3 linked regions of the Cricetulus griseus genome follow. The protein of the gene in region 3 binds, or shares a complex with, the protein of the main gene of each other region. Links are inferred from orthologs where the notes say so. Each region holds a gene or a part of one and is shown on either strand. Other genes may lie near its edges.

Region 1 (5,061 bases), on a different chromosome or scaffold from region 3:
CAAATGGCCCTTTAGTGGGAGAGGGACCATCCTGCACCAAACCTCATAAATCCTTAATGGTACTCAGTGTGATTCTGGGTTGGCTGTGGTCCTGAAACTCTGAAAGAAATGTTTTAGGACTTGACCCCATACAGCTGCTGTATAGGCAGCTGTAGGTAAGGTGACCTATCTCAAGAGTGAAAAACAAAACTGGAAACTTAAATTACCGATTTTGGGGAGGAGAGAAAACAACACGTTACTTTCTGTCGGAGAAGAAACCCTGGCAGGTAACTGTCAGGTGTGTGTGTGGGGGGGCAACCTTAGGCCTGCCTGCAGATGCTAGCCCAGGGCTGGGGCTAGATAACATATTGGTCTGCACCTCTGGGCCATGTAATGTCAGAAAGTTATTGGTGGTCAAGGAAGGTGTCATCAGCTACAGGGCCTGAAGGAGGGGGCATCCCTGGGTGGGTGACCAAGGTGATATGGTTGGCCCCAAAAGAATGAAAGATAGGTAGAGAGATCCTGCCTGCTGCCACAGAAGCAAGCTAATAGGATGCCACCAAGGCTGTGGGCTCCAGGGACTTCCCCATGGAGGAATCCAGGAAAGGCCAAGTACAAGTTCAAATGAGAAATGATTCCAAAACTGGTTTGTGCAAATGTTTTTTTTTTTTATTTCCACATTTATATCACAAGGTATCCACTTACTGGACCAAATAGCAAAGTTGCTCCCTTCTGCGAGGACGCAGAAGTCTAGGTACTGTACATTCACTAAGGCTCCTTGTTTTTGCAAATTGCGTTTATGACAACCATAAGGCAAACGAATCTAAAGGAATGGTTATGAGTGTTTCCAGCTAACAGACGGCTCTCCTCGCCCAGCAGGGCAACTCACGCCAGTAGCACCCTCGGGAACTTTGTGAGGTTGAGGGCTCTAGAAAGATGGCATTTCCTAGAGATGTAGACAGGAAGAGATAGAAAGGAAAAGTCATTTGGCTGGTGGTCAGGTGGAAAAGAGGATGAAATAAACAAGAAAACTGAAGTTTTTGCAGCATTTCTTTAAGAACAGGGGTTGAACTGAAACCATATACAAATGGGTGGACACCTGTGCAAGTGGGTGAAGCTGGCTCACCCGCCCAATGCCAGGGTTCACCATAGCAGAGAAGCTTCTAGCGCATAACACGAGGGAAAAGAAAACACTGGCTTGGCCGAGGCCAGAGACTGGCCAGAGCCAAAGAGTAGGAGATTCAGAGATGAGATGTGCATCTGTTGCTGTTAAGGTAACCTCTCCCGCAGGTTTCCTGTGCCTGCCTGCCACTGAGGTCCCCACCTTCGGTGCTAGAGGGGCTCTGCACCTCTTCTGGGGTGGGGGACCTAACGCTTTATATAGCTGGCTTGCTATAGAGTTCTGGACTCCCTCTGCCATCTGCCCTCTGAGCAGCCCTTCCTTTGCAATCGTTAGTAAACTGGTAGCAGCATTTCACAAAAGGAGGGTGGAGGGTGAGCCTCATGCTCGCCCTCCTGGCTGGCCAGCCTACCCCCTGCAAGGTGGGAATGCACTTGATGGCCAGGCCAGGTGCTCAGTCCAAGCAGACATAAGGCAGAATGTTCAAGCGCCCATCATCGCCATGCGGGTCGAGCGATATGCATTGCGTCCAGTCATACCAATTACCCTGTGTGTCCTCACACCCGTTCACCCCTGGCCACTTCTGGGCCTGGATTCTGTCCAGATCGTCCTGTGTGATCTCCCGAGTGAGCCCCGGGAGGTCAGTGGGCGTGGGCAGCGGCAGCAGCACATGGGGCTGCCGGGCCCCTCGCCGACTGCTCTCCTCCTGCTTCAGATACTCGGCCATAAAGTGGTGCGCGCCTGGGGTCTGCGCGCCAGAAGAGGACAGCAAGCTGCTCTGGCGGCTCAGGTAGGACTGGATGATCTCATTGCGTGACAGCTCCTTCCAGTTCGTCTGCTCAAAAGGACTCTGGAGGCTGGCCTTGGCCTCCTGCTGGTCCTGCTCTGTCCTAGGTGGCTGCTCTGTGGGTACGGGGCTGTCGGCCCGCACGGGTTCTTTCTGGGTCAGAGGTTTGATCTGTCTTGTCATGGGGTCAAAGGTGAGCTTCCGCTCTTTTAACCGCACAGGCTTCACGCCTGCCTCAGCCACCTGCCCGTCCAAGTTCACCGTGTAGTCTCGAGGTCGGTACCTCTTTTTCTTTTTGCTGTCTGAGCCACCTGAAGAGGCAGCATCGCTGTCCACCTTGGAGGAATCTGGCGACAACCCGACCCTGCAGGCTGGCCCTGTTAGCCGTGGGTGACCCTCCGGCTGCTCTGGCCAGTGCACAGGGCTCTCAGCACTAGACAGCAGCTCCATCCGCCGCACAGGGGGTGTGGACGGCTGGGCTAGCGGGAGTGGGGATGGCACCTGTGTGGTGTCCAGTGGCTGGGGGCGTGGGGAGGGGCTGGACACAGAGCCCTTCGCTATGTATGAGCTCCGCTGCCGGGCAAAGGAGCCTTCATGCCGTGAGTTCCGGGGGCTGAAGGAGCAGCGAGAGGTCCCCCTGGGATGGGGAGGGCCTGGCGGCTCATCTGCTCTGTCCAGCTGTGCAGCCTTTGTCTGCAGGCAGGGCACGGGGGGCTTGCCCAGGCCAGGGGAGCTGGGGCGGGGCCGCACGGCGTTCACGGGGATCTTGGTACTGTGCTTCTCATTGTCGCTGGGTTCCAGGCGGCTGCTATCAGGGCCCAAGTGCCCACTACCATCCAGGGGGCTAGGTAAGCTCTCTGGGCTCCCACTGATCCCATTAGTGGGGAGAGGGGATGCATTGGGGACTAGGGGGTCAGGGGTGGCTTTGGGAACTTTGTGGGGTGGCCCCGGGTGGCCCAGGTCACGCTGATCCCCTCTACGCTTACGGCTGCCCAGCCTGTCTAGCCGCTCCCCAGGAAGCCTCTGGATGTCATTGCGATTCTTCAGGTCATGGATGCTCTTGGGTGTGCTGGCTACTCCCACCTCTGACCGGCAGTTGTGTGCGCCCCCATTGGCAGAGCCGGCAGCTCCCGCCAGTGCCCGTAGGGCCACCTCATTCTGGTGCACTGGCTCGATGAGCTTCTGCCAGCTCCGCAGAAGCCTCTTGGCCCTCTTGGCTAGCTCCTCGTTCTTGGTTTTCTTGCGGACGTCATTGATGAGCTTCCCCAGTCGTGTCTCCTACAAGCAAGAGAATGACACACTTATACAATGCAGGACGAGGTAGCTGAGCCAGTAAGCTCACCCTTTCTGGCTTTACCTCTTTCCCCCAGCCCCCAAACTGCCAGCTTATGGGATGCATCTTGGAGGTGTCCAATACTATGTGGCAGCATGAATTCTTAGGTTTGGGACCCAGAGGCTTCCTCAAAAGCAGGTCCACTGGTTCCTGGAACCTGGAGTCTGTGCCATCAAGGCCACACAGCTGCTCCACCAGGGTGCCTGGTTGAACACATTTCACAGCCTAAGGCCTGGTCTCCAAAGGACAGGGACACTAACCAATTGTCTAAAGCTCAGCACAGGTCGTGTTCCAAATGCTATGAGGTGTGCAGGGTATGGGAAGGAACCCAACTGTGAGAGTAGACGCCTTCACTCTTGGAAAGTCCTTGCGAAGACCAATGTCCTGGACACACTGCCCACTGGGTCCCCTGAAGGACTACAAAAGCCTAAGCCACAAGTAGAAGGTGGCTAGGGGCTACCCTCACCTCTCATTCTGCCCAAAGTTGAGCTCTTACCTCTAGTGCCTCTTTGGTGATGGGGTATCTCTCCAGACTGGAGATCACTTCCAATACTGCAACCATGTTCCTGATCTGAAGAACAAGAACCAGGTTATCAGCTTAGGGCTCCGACTGAAAGCCTAGCAACCCAGGGCCTTTCAAGTTGCCAGCACTGGACACCACCAAACCCCCACCATCACCATCTCCCAAGGGTTTACCATTGCCCATATGCACACACTCAGCCACCCACTGCTATCGGGTGTCATGAAAAGAGACCTGCCCCTGGTCTGACATCTTTACTGGAAAGTCCCTGAAGCAGGGGCTGGAGAAGTTACCATATATACCAAACACACAAAGCCTCAGAGGAAAGCAAGAGGGGACAATAAACCAGTATGTCACAGACTAAGATGTATGTCACATGGCCAGAATGAGGGTCTCTGGAGCACCACACCTGAACAGCAATGCAGCCCCAAGAACGTGAAAGCAGAGACTCTGAGAGGCTCTGTGCAGAACGGGCAAGGTCAGCACTAGCACTGAGCTTCACGGCTATGTCAACAGGGAGGCTAACAATCCCCCAAGTTCATGTTTGGAATCCCACTCTGAGCCAGCCCTTCCATCCATCACTGATTTGTTTAATCACCACAGGCTCACAGGGCAGGTGCCATGACTATCATTTCAGAGATGGCAGGGTAGGACCAAAAGGCTGATGTGACTGGACATGCCAGCAGCACAGCCACACTGGCAAACAGCAGGCAGCACAGCAATGGGGGAAAGGAGATGAAGAGGAGCCTCCTGAGTAAGAGCGGACAAACAGCCTTAGTGTACCCAGGGAGACCGCATTCCAGAAAGCCGACAGCAGCAAGCACAGCAAAGCCCCACACATGGAGCTTCCTCAAGGGGCTAAGGAGATGGTCAGCTAAGGACCAGAACCCATGTACCTGCCAGGTGGCAGGGCAGCCCATCTGTAATTCCAGCTCTGAAAGGGAAAGGTAGGGTACCTAGAGCCAACTAGATAGTAAGAGTAGCTGTGTTGGTGAGCTCCAGGTGTCTCAGTGAGCAGGAGGAGGAATGAGTAACAATTCCCATGATTCCCGGCGTCAGCCTCCTTTTGCCTGTGTGCACATACACTGCACACACATGCATGAAAATTACCTCAGTGAGCCCCAGACCTAAATGGCAAGCGAAAATCAAGCTCCAAAAAGTGCTCAGGAGAGGATCTGCAACGATGGGGCTCCTGAGGAGTCCAGAGGACCAACTGTTAAAGAAAACTAATGACAAACGGAACCTATGGAAATGAAAAGCTTCTGTGTGTTTAGACACTTATCGGGACACACACAAAGCTACCTGGTGGTGATCCACCTGCA
Region 2 (4,131 bases), on a different chromosome or scaffold from region 3:
ATGTATGGCTGTGTGGGGAAATGTGGTACATGGCTGACCAGCCAAATCTCAGCAGCATATCTCACAAGAAAATAAGAATATTTGGTAAACATTTAGCAGTTTCTGTTACTAAACGTTTTTTCATTGCAAACTTCCAGATTTAACACCAGACGTCGGCTTTAAAGGAATAATGCAGAGGCTAGAGAGATGACTCAGTGGCTCACATTCTGCTCTTTGTATAGTACCAGTTTGGTTCTCAGCATCCACAGAAATGGCTTTCAACCACCTTCACTCCAAAAAAAGCCAACACCCTTTTAGCCTCTGCAGGAAATGCACTCACACTCACATAGACAGCTAACACAGGAAATATAGTTAGCACATAAGATATTTTAATGTCTAAAATGAACATAAACTTAGTGACCGAAGACTGATTACCTGACTGGGGGGAAGGGGAAGCCCCTAGCAGATATTTTATGGAAGATAAGGAAGAAGCGGCTGTGATACTGAGTTTGTAGAACAGTCATCAGGAAAATAGTTCCTGTATTGTTTTGGAATAAATCTAAACATTTTGTAATTTCACATGTACAGTTTGATGCCCTTTATTAGTCTTAAAGGAAATAACTCCCCCGTAAGAATGACAGTTCAATATTTCTTAAAATTTTTATTCCACTTCCAAAAATAGGACTATCCCATTCAATAGCAAACATTCTGCTTTTTTATGATCATTACTCAAATATACTTCCTTGCCTATCCTTACTGTTAAATTATCACCTACAGCATTTCAATTGAGAAAAGTCCCTTTATATTTTTAGTTATACCTCTTAAGACTGTCCAAGAGAAAATAAACTAATATATGATGCTATTCACTAAAAGAAAAAATACTCATGGTCTTTCATTCATTTCATCAACTAGGACACATAAGGCAGCATCTTTCTCTATAATCTGGTCCCTCCTGTGACCTGAATTTTCTCTTTGTTGTTCATTTTGTCCAGTACAATTGCTGTTATCATCAGTATCCATTGGCTCAGTTTTAACTCTCATCCCTGCTTCTGAATGGGGTAAATCATCTGGCAAAGAAGCAAGGCAATTTTGGATCATTTCAATTACTCGTTCCAGGTGTTTCTGAAACCTCTCAGCTGTTTCAAGACGTTGCCGTTTCTGGACCTCCATCATTACTCTCAAGGTCTCTCTTGCTTGGTGGGGTCGATACTCATTTATAAGATGATGCACATGTACGAAAAGCAGCTTAAGATCTTCTAGCTTCTCTTCTCGTTTTATACTCCCAGGGCTCCTTATTAAGATATCTAAAAGGTCCAAGAAATTAATCAGTATAGACATATTGAGTTTTCTCAGTTCTTTCTTGTGATCAAATTGCATAGGATGAAGCCGTTCAATGCCCTGACTTTCCAAAGGGCGAATGATAAGATCATCACATTGGAACTGGTTGCCGAACATCATGTAACTGTCTTTAATTGGAGGGGGAGGCTTGGGAGCTAAGCCTTCCTGAATATTTTCATCTGTATATTCCTTGATGTACTGCATTGGAGGTGGTGGGAGTGCACTCACTTGCTGTGGTTCACCCATTGTCGACAATCAAGAACCTAAAGAAACAGAACACAGATTCAGAGCAGAACCAGACAACACTACCCCCAACCACCATCAGTGACTTCAGAGTATGTTTTTCCTTCTTCTGACAGGACAGGGTCCAAGACAAGATGATCTCAGATTTAAAACTAACATTTACAAAAAGGGAATGGCCATCAATTATTTTCTAATTAAAGATTATGTTGTTAACACCCCTATTGTTTTCCTTTATCTCCTTGGTGCTTTCCAGAGCAGTTAAATAAACAAGTTACTCTTTTTCATATATAAATAAAATCTGAGGGGATTGGAAGCTAGGGCAGCCACACATCAGCTGGGTGTCTGCTGAGGCAAAAGAAAGATAACAGCCTACGGATGGATGTGCAGGGTGTCTTGTTTTTGCTTTGTGCCTAGGATCTTCTGTTGCCACCCCCTCCCTGCCCATCTGGGGGAAGAGGGTCTGTGCAGCAGACATCTAGAAAGGCACACCATTCCAGCAGAAGGCAGGTACCCATAATTACAGTAATGGCATTGAAAAAAATAAAAACAAACAAAAAACCTTTCTGAGCACAAAAGACACTAGCACTTGTTAATTTCTCAAAGATAAACCCATACAAAGCATCCTGAAAATAAAGGGGTGTGGTGGGAGGAAGAGGCTCTTATGACATCTGTCACTGTATCATGAAGCTTCACTGCTGAGGAAAAAAATTACCAACCAATGACCAGGGCAGCCTGGACAACATCAACTTCAATGTTCAGAAGTACACTGTGAATTCAGACCATATTATCTTTAAGCTTCCTGCTGGTAAGTATGCCTTGAAAATTGAGAACTTGTTGGCCAGTCAAGACACAAGGTGTGCTAATTTCACCCTAAAGGAACAGGTGACCCTGGCAAAGGAAAAGAAAAATAAAGCAAAGCTATGGCTTCGTGCAATGAAGATAACTGTGATGAGAGCCATGAAACAATCTCTAGCATCTAAATATACACCCAAGTCGAGGTATGCAGACTCTATGAAGGAAATTCTGAGAACATGAAGCAGTGTCACTTGGAAATCTTACAATTATTTGAATCCCTTAAAGTCCCTGTCACCTGCTAAAGGACACTTTTGTCTGCCAGACTTCATGTGACTATGAAGTAAGGACACCTGTTCTGCTTGGTGAGGAAAGAGGGACGCTAGGGTTAAGGACTCATGTGTTCTATGTAAGCTGACAAATGGAAGCATAGGAAGTGGGAAGCAGCCAGTCAAGTCCACTAAAGGTTTGGCAGATAACTTTACTTACTGTTCTTTTTAAACATTTTTTTTTGTTGTTATTTTGAAAAAGGACCTCAACTGTCATAGATGTGGTGGTTCACACTATAGAAGCCAAGACAGCTATGAGTTCAAGGCCAGTTTGGGCTACACATTGATTTTTGAGTCAGCCTGTGCTAAAAATACCTTTAAAAACTATTTTTAAAGTATATGAAGTTGGGAGTGAGATATGGTGATGGTCTGCATGGTATTAGAGGGGAAGGAGAGGGCATGATCAAAACACATTGTGTATAAAATTCTCAAAGAACAAAATACATATTCTAAAAACTAAGAGAAAAGGGTCCATGTCTGGGATGATTTTGTATGGCACATGATATATTATTTGTCATGTCTGATTTTTGTTTTTGTTTTTTTGTTTTTTGGGTTTTTTTTGGGGGGGTGGATAGGCCTATGTTGGAACCCACACTGGAAAAAAGAACACTTATACACACAAATATCACGTGCCTTTTTACTACTCTTTCCCACAGTGAAACTACCTATGGTGTTTATCAATCTCATATCACAATCACTTTTGCTTTCTATTATGTACTGGTTTCCAAAACCAAACACTTAAAGACTCTAAACATTTTGACAAAAACAACAAAAAAAGCATTGTTAAATTTCAAACTTCTATTATTATCCAGGCTTTGTGAAGGAAGCCCCATCTTGAGAGGGCCGGGCGTTGGTGGCAGACGCCTTTAATCCCAGCACTCGGGAGGCAAAGGCAGGCGGATCTCTGTGAGTTCAAGGCCAGCCTGGTCTCCAGAGCGAGTGCCAGGATAGGCTCCAAAGCTACACAGAGAAACCCTGTCCCGAAAAACCAAAGAGTACGGTCTTATTAACACATTAGCATTTTATATATTTCCAAATAATAAAAAAAACTGCAACACACATGGTCAAAATAACCTCTCCTATTCCAATTTGAATTATATAGTGTATTATCCATTGATAAGTGTACATCCAGTGAGGAGACTCCTGAGTGCTTTTTCACACTTGATCTGAGTTTCAAGACGCACCATCCATCTACCAACATCAACTGGGGCAAGTAACATACCGGTTCAGTACCAGTTCCTTGGAATATGTTAAATCTGAGGGCAGCCACTTCAAAGTCTTCAGCTTTCCAACTGTTTGGGCACCTCACCCACCCACCCACCCACCCTGACACCTTTTCCCCTAAGTACTTCAGTATATACCTAAAACACGAATGTTCTCCTGCAACCACAGCCTAATTTCACCCACTGAGGGCTTTTGAAATTGAGGTTCTGTGCTTCCCTTCCCCACG
Region 3 (6,440 bases):
AGGTTAGTCCAGGGGAAGTCTAGGATTTGTGTACCATGTATCATAGTTGGGGTTTTCTCTTGGGCCCATGGCACTTGCAGGAAGGACAAGTGTTGTGGTCTCAGTACTGCCAGAAAGCTCTATAGGCCTCAGTGGGACCAGAAGTGGCATGATAAGAAATACAAGAAAGCTCACTTGGGCACAGCCCTGAAGGCCAGTCTTTAAGGAGGTGCCTCTCATGCAGAAGGAATTGTGTTGAAAAAAAGTAGGAGTTGAAGCCAAAGATCCAAATTGTGCTATCAGGAAGTGTGTCAGGTACAGCTCATCAGGAACCGCACCTTTTATGCCCAGTGGTGACTGCTTGAACTTCACTGAGGAAAAGGATGAAGTTCTGTTTGCTGGTTTTGGTCAAAAAAGTCATGCTCCAGAGTCCACTCTAAGATTGTTAAAGTAGTCATCGTGTCCCTTTTGACCCTGTACAAAGGCAAGAAGGAAAGAACAAGATCATAAATTTTGACAGTGCAAACACAGTTATAAATTTTCATATTCTGGGGTTGGGGAGAAAAAATTATGTTGAGTCAGGCAGTAGTGGTGCACACCTTTATTCTCAGTACTTGGGAGGCAGGGGCAGAGGCAGGTGGATGTCTGTGAGTTCAAGGCCAGCCTGGTCTACAGAACAAGTTCCAGGACAGCAAGTGCTGTTACACGGAGAAATCCTGTTTGGAAAAACCAAGAGAGAGAGAGAGAGAGAGAGAGAGAGAGAGAGAGAGAGAGAGAGAGAGAAATTAAGGCATAGTGGTGCACACCTTTAATTCTAGCACTTGGGAGGCAGGCCCCAGGTCTTATGGCTTCTGGAGGACAGTGATTATAAGATTTTGAGGCCCAGTGTTTGAGGACTCTGGGAGCATGAGTGTGAGGTTGCTGGGAAGGTAGGAGAGACGTGAGGCTGCCGGCGCTGGTGGAGGTTGAGTCAGGAGGCCCTGGCTAATTCACCCTTCCTCTTCCAGAAACCAAAGCCTGCATCTGTGGATGCTAACACCAAGCTGACGAGGTCTCTGCCTTGCCAGGTCTATGTGAACCATGGAGAAAACCTGTAGGTATTTGTCAGGGGTGGGGTAGGTTTAGCCTGGCCCCTCCTGATTCTCCTCTCTCTGTCCCACAGGAAAACAGAGCAGTGGCCCCAGAAACTGATCATGCAGCTCATCCCTCAGCAGCTGCTGGTGAGTCCTGCCAGGCAGGAGCTGCCTGGCCCTTGTCCCCCGTTCCCACATAATCTCCCCTACCTTGTGTTGCCCCGAATGATGCCTGCGTTTTCCCAGACTACCCTACCTTGTGTTGCCCCGAATGATGCCTGCGTTTTCCCAGACTACCCTACCTTGTGTTGCCCCGAATGATGCCTGCGTTTTCCCAGACTACCCTACCTTGTGTTGCCCCGAATGATGCCTGCGTTTTCCCAGACTACCCTACCTTGTGTTGCCCCGAATGATGCCTGCGTTTTCCCAGACTACCCTGGGCCCTCTGTTCCGGAACTCAAGAATGGTCCAGTTTCACTTCACCAACAAGGACCTGGAGTCCCTCAAAGGCCTCTACCGCATCATGGGCAATGGCTTCGTGAGTGGCGGGCACTGACTTCCTTCCCCATCTCTGCCCACAGTCCTGCATCTAGGAGTCGCTGTCTTTCCTTGGGTGTCGTTTGTGGTGCTGCAGTTAGGGCCACATGTCCTAGCATCTGCTGTGTCCCTGTCCCGTGGGCCTGCATTTGTTGATGGTTTGAGATAAGTCTTGCTGTGTAGTAAGACCTCCACCTGGGTGTCCTCCTGCCTCGGGCTCCTGAGGGCTGTTTTGCAGCTATGTGCGGTGCAGTCCAGCCTGGCTTCTCTGGCCCTGTTCTTTCCTGTATCTCCACTTTGTTGCATAGGGCCTGCCCTCATGCCTCATATAACCTTCAGGTCAGCTCACCTTCCTGGGGGCTAGTGGGTTGGAACTTGTGTTTAGGGAAGACCCAAGTGCCTGTGTGTGCATGGGATTAGCGACAGTGACTTCTATGCCCAGAGTTTTCCCCAGGCAGAGATTGTTGATCATCATCCTCTCAGCCCTCTTTACCTCCGCTGACACTGTTGCCTGCTGTACCTCTCTCGTGTCTGTGGGTCTGCTGGGGCTGTTGTCAGGAAGGTCAGCTGGGCCAAGAACCCTCTGTGGTGTGGCTCATCTGCTGTCCTCCTCAGTGAAAACACTGAATTCTGAGGGAATGTTCCAACAAATGGCCTGTTTTTGCTGCAGGCCAGGATACAGAAGGAGAGCTCAGTGACCTCAATGCCTAGGCCTCTCACAGGCTCAAGATGGTTACCTTAGCTTTTGAGTCCCTTTAAACATTTGGAAGAGGCAATGACTTCAGGAAGCGAGAAATGTTCACAACTTCTGACCAGGCCTCCTTTTATCTGGGCCTGGCTGGGTTCCTAGGCTGCACCCCTGTAGGGGAGGACACTCCAGTATCTGGCCTGGGTGGCACTGCCTGTTCTGTGCTGGACTGGGTTAAGGAGAGGGGTGTGTTGATGCACTAGCTGCAAGTCCTGAGAAGTAAACCCAGGTAGCCAAAGCCAGTTAGTTCCCTGAGAGCCCATGGAGACTCTGAATCCCAAAATGGCATCCTTGTGATGTTGCCATTCTCTGGTCCATGCTGGAGGCCCTGGCAGAGATAGAGCCACCTTCAAGGGTCTGACCCTGACTTCCTGCCACCCTCCCCAGTGGAGCCCTGTCCAGTGTGATTTGATGAGATAACCCAGTGCTATATAGTGGGAGACATGAGGTAGAGCCACTCAGTCAGGGTCACCATGGGCTTCTGGTGTGACCTGCTGTCTCCTCGGTGGTCAGCAGGGACTTTGGTCTTGCTGTGCCCTTTGAGTGCCTGTCACTCACAATTTTTTGTTTCCAGGGCAGCTGCTGCGCCAACCTGGCCTCCCTGGCCTTGTACAGTGAGACCTCCCTACCTCTTGCCTATAAGGCTTGTAGAATTTTATAGGCTGAGGTAGGCTAGCCCATGCCTCTCGGGTAGGCTGCTTCTGAAGAGTCTCTGTCCACAGGCGGGCTGCGTGCACTTCCCGCATACAGCCCCATGCGAGGTGCGTGTGCTCATGCTCCTGTACTCATCTAAGAAAAAGATCTTCATGGGCCTCATCCCCTACGACCAGAGTGGCTTTGTCAATGGCATCCGCCAGGTCATCACCAACCACAAGCAGGTCCAGCAGCAGAAGCTGGAGCAGCAGCGAGGGGTGAGTGGTAGTGGCAAGCCAGTGTCCTCTCATAGCTCCCCAGAGCCCAGTCAGCCATAAGCCGCCTGTCTGAGTCCAATGTGCCCCTTGTGTCCTAGCAGAGCAGCTTTAGTCCCTTCTCAGTTTCCACGGCAGTCCCTGATACAGGCCTTCCTTATTGGTCAGGCAGGGTGTGATGCACCTACTAGATGGTATGTCCCCAAAGAAAGGCACCTTCCTCCTACACACCAGGTCCTCCAACAGGTTCAGACAGCCTTCCCTCACCACTGATCTGTCCTCTCTGTCCCCGTGCAGATGGGGGCACAGCAGGCACTTCCAGGCCTGGGCCCCATTCTGGAGGACCAAGCGAGGCCCCCGCAGAACCTAGTGAGGACTTGGGTGGGGACTGGTGGGATTGGGGATGGAGGTTGGGTGGAGCTAGGGCAGTTCCCTACTGCTTGTCCTTGCTCACGCTGTCTGTTCTCCAGCTCCAGCTCCGTGCACCACAGCCCCAGCCTCAGGGTGCTGTGGGGGCCTCTGTGGCTACAGGGCAGCCCCAGCCACAAGGTACTACCCAGGCCCCCACAGGAGCACCCCAGGGTCCTCCAGGAACAGCCCCCGGCCCACCACCTTCTGGACCTATCCTTCGGCCCCAGAACCCTGGGGCCAACCCCCAGTTGCGGAGCCTCCTCCTTAACCCACCACCGGTGAGGCATGGGAATAGAGCAACAGGGAATTGCAGGTTCTTACCCAGTATCTCTGGGAGGAAGGGGTGGGCTGTACCAGCAGGGCCTTTCTGGAGCACAGACTGGGCCCTCTGAGCCATTCTTTGTCTTCCCCAGCCCCAGACTGGGGTACCCCCACCCCAGGCCTCCCTCCACCACCTGCAGCCTCCAGGGGCCCCTGCACTGCTGCCTCCACCACATCAGAGCCTGGGGCAGCCCCAGCTGGGGCCACAACTCCTCCACCCTCCACCTGCCCAGTCTTGGCCCACACAGCTTCCCCAGCGGGCTCCACTGCCAGGTAAGGGTGTTCTAGGGGAGGGTAGAGGTCTAGACTGGGAGTCCTTGCAGCCACTGGCAAGGACCCCATTACCAAAGGGCCTCCCCATAGCTCTAGGGGGCTTAGAGGGCCATTGGGAAGTTTAGCCATGGGAACAATGCCTCAGTGAGTGAGAGCTTTCCATAATCCTTATATGCTGCCCTGGGATGCTGGAAGATACCTTAGGGTCAGTGATGCTGTCGGGGGAAGGGCTCCCAAAGGGTCAAAGGAAAATGTCTGCATCTAATTGGGCTTAGAAGGATCCCTGGCTCTGGTGGTCCCTGGAGCTTCCTAGAAACCTGACTGCCTTGGGTTCCCAGAAGAGGGGATGAGAGGTCCAGGGTCCTCAATGGTCCCAGGGACCACTGGGAGATGCAGTCCCTTCCCACTGCCCCCCAGGTCAGATGCTGCTGAGCGGGGGTCCCCGGGGCCCGGTCCCCCAGCCGGGCCTGCAGCCCAGCGTCATGGAGGACGACATCCTCATGGACCTCATCTGAACCCAACACCCAATAAAGTTCCTTTTAACGATTCCCGGCTCCCGTCACTGACGCCCCTAGGGCTGTCTTTGCTCTCGCCTTGCAGACTCCCCAAGGCCCCGGCTGGGTGATGCTGGGCCACGGGGGGAGTTGGAGGCAGCATGGTGAGGCCTGGTTCTGGGAGACTCAGAGGCAGGTGGGCAGATAGTGTACAGCTCATGTGCACTCAAGGGGTTACAGAGCCCAGAATGCCTCTGACCCAGCCAGGGTTCCGAGGAGCCTGGAAGGAGAAGCAGCAGTTGGGAGCCAGGAGGTACTAAGGTGCAGATAGCCAAAGCCACAGTAAAGGGACAGGCAAGGTCAGGAGGTGGATGCTCCTGGAGCATGAGCATTACAGGGAGGAGCCAGACTGGAATGCTTGAGACTTGTCCTGGGGACGCAGGACCACAGAGATCTCCAGTGGGGCTGATGTCAGAAAGGCTGGTTTGTAGGAGCAGGGCAGGCCAGAGGCAAGGTCAAAGGACTGTTCCGGTGACACATGCCACACCAGGCAGTCAGGATGTCCCCATGGGACAGTGTGCTGTGCTTGAAGCAGTAGCAATTTAGGTTCTAGTTGGAGGTGTGGGGAAGTGAGGAAGCCCCTGTCTTGCAGGGTGTTCTCAGGTTTGTCTGTAGGTGGTCTCCTTGGAGATGTTGTGAGATATTTGTCACACAGGCATATTAACTGTGAGTGTGGTCTGTGCCTGGACCACCACTGCCTGGGTCTGGGACGCTAGTTAATGTGCAGGTCACTCACTATCCCAGAAGAGAGGCTTCAGTCTAGTGGCCCGTGGGCCACCACAGATGAGTTTTGTTTGGCCTTCCCTGTGTTAGCATGTGTCACTTTTTTCCTTCCAGTTAGCTATAAAACTTAAGTGAAATTCACACACACGCACAATTGCTCCTCAACATGTCGGAAACACTGACACCCTGGGTCTACCCTTCTGCCTGGCAGTAGTAGCTGGGTTTGCCCCATCAGTGGGGCTCATGCTCTTGGGTTCGCCACAGTCCCCACCACTCTCTCTTGCTCTTCCACGGTGAGGCCAAAGCCCTGCCTCCGTCACGGGGCTGGCACCGTGGTGGTTCTGTGGTAGCATTCAGAGAAAAGTGAAATCTTTCTTGTACCCATGTCTCCTTCAAAAGTGGCCAAACGAAAGAAAGAAGGAGAGGGCCGCGTGTTTCGAGAAAAATGGGAGCGAGACTATTTCTTTGTGGAAGTGAAGAACATGCCCACGTGCTTAATATGCAAAAAAAACGTGTCAGTGCTGAAAGAGTACAACCTGAAGCGTCACTATGAGTCCCAGCACAGTAAGAGCTACGACCAGTACACAGCACAGCACCGCGACGTGGTCCTGCAGGAGCTGAAAAGGGCCCTCAGAGCCAGCGAGGCTCTGGAGAACCCGGAGTAGGAGCCACAAGTGATGTGGAGAGAACGTCCGTGTCCTGAACAGAGCTGCATCCTCAAGGCTGCCCTGTGAGTCTGACAAGCTTTTGCAGGCTGAAGTACACAGGAGTCAGAGGCCTTATGGGGTCCGGTTGCCTGACCCACAGCTGTGGCCTTTTGATGGCTGTGCAGAAACTCTGACCACATGGTTAGCTTTATTTATTTGTGGTGGTGGTGATCTCCATGCAGCTGAAGAAGTCTGTGAGGTGGCAC

What was found.
Region 1: Med25 (region 3) and Med26 share a complex: the UniProt entries of both Homo sapiens proteins name them as parts of the mediator complex. The link is inferred for Cricetulus griseus from reciprocal best matches to the Homo sapiens genes MED25 and MED26.
Region 2: Med25 (region 3) and Med7 share a complex: the UniProt entries of both Homo sapiens proteins name them as parts of the mediator complex. The link is inferred for Cricetulus griseus from reciprocal best matches to the Homo sapiens genes MED25 and MED7.

What each region holds. Positions count from the first base shown.
Region 1 is NW_023276806.1:247,247,083-247,252,143, forward strand, and holds the end of Med26 (mediator of RNA polymerase II transcription subunit 26), read right to left. Parts: intron 3,791-5,061; coding exon 3,716-3,790; intron 3,165-3,715; coding exon 1,554-3,164; 3' UTR 624-1,553; downstream 1-623. UniProt on the Homo sapiens protein: Component of the Mediator complex, a coactivator involved in the regulated transcription of nearly all RNA polymerase II-dependent genes.
Region 2 is NC_048600.1:60,990,828-60,994,958, reverse strand, and holds the end of Med7 (mediator of RNA polymerase II transcription subunit 7), read right to left. Parts: intron 2,449-4,131; exon of another isoform or gene 2,277-2,448; intron 1,581-2,276; 5' UTR 1,564-1,580; coding exon 862-1,563; 3' UTR 624-861; downstream 1-623. UniProt on the Homo sapiens protein: Component of the Mediator complex, a coactivator involved in the regulated transcription of nearly all RNA polymerase II-dependent genes.
Region 3 is NC_048599.1:153,714,258-153,720,697, reverse strand, and holds part of Med25 (mediator of RNA polymerase II transcription subunit 25), read left to right. Parts: exon of another isoform or gene 1-631; intron 632-986; coding exon 987-1,072; intron 1,073-1,141; coding exon 1,142-1,199; intron 1,200-1,482; coding exon 1,483-1,590; intron 1,591-3,059; coding exon 3,060-3,248; intron 3,249-3,542; coding exon 3,543-3,614; intron 3,615-3,715; coding exon 3,716-3,934; intron 3,935-4,069; coding exon 4,070-4,250; intron 4,251-4,667; coding exon of another isoform or gene 4,668-4,765; exon of another isoform or gene 4,766-4,797; intron 4,798-5,926; coding exon 5,927-6,192; 3' UTR 6,193-6,440. UniProt on the Homo sapiens protein: Component of the Mediator complex, a coactivator involved in the regulated transcription of nearly all RNA polymerase II-dependent genes.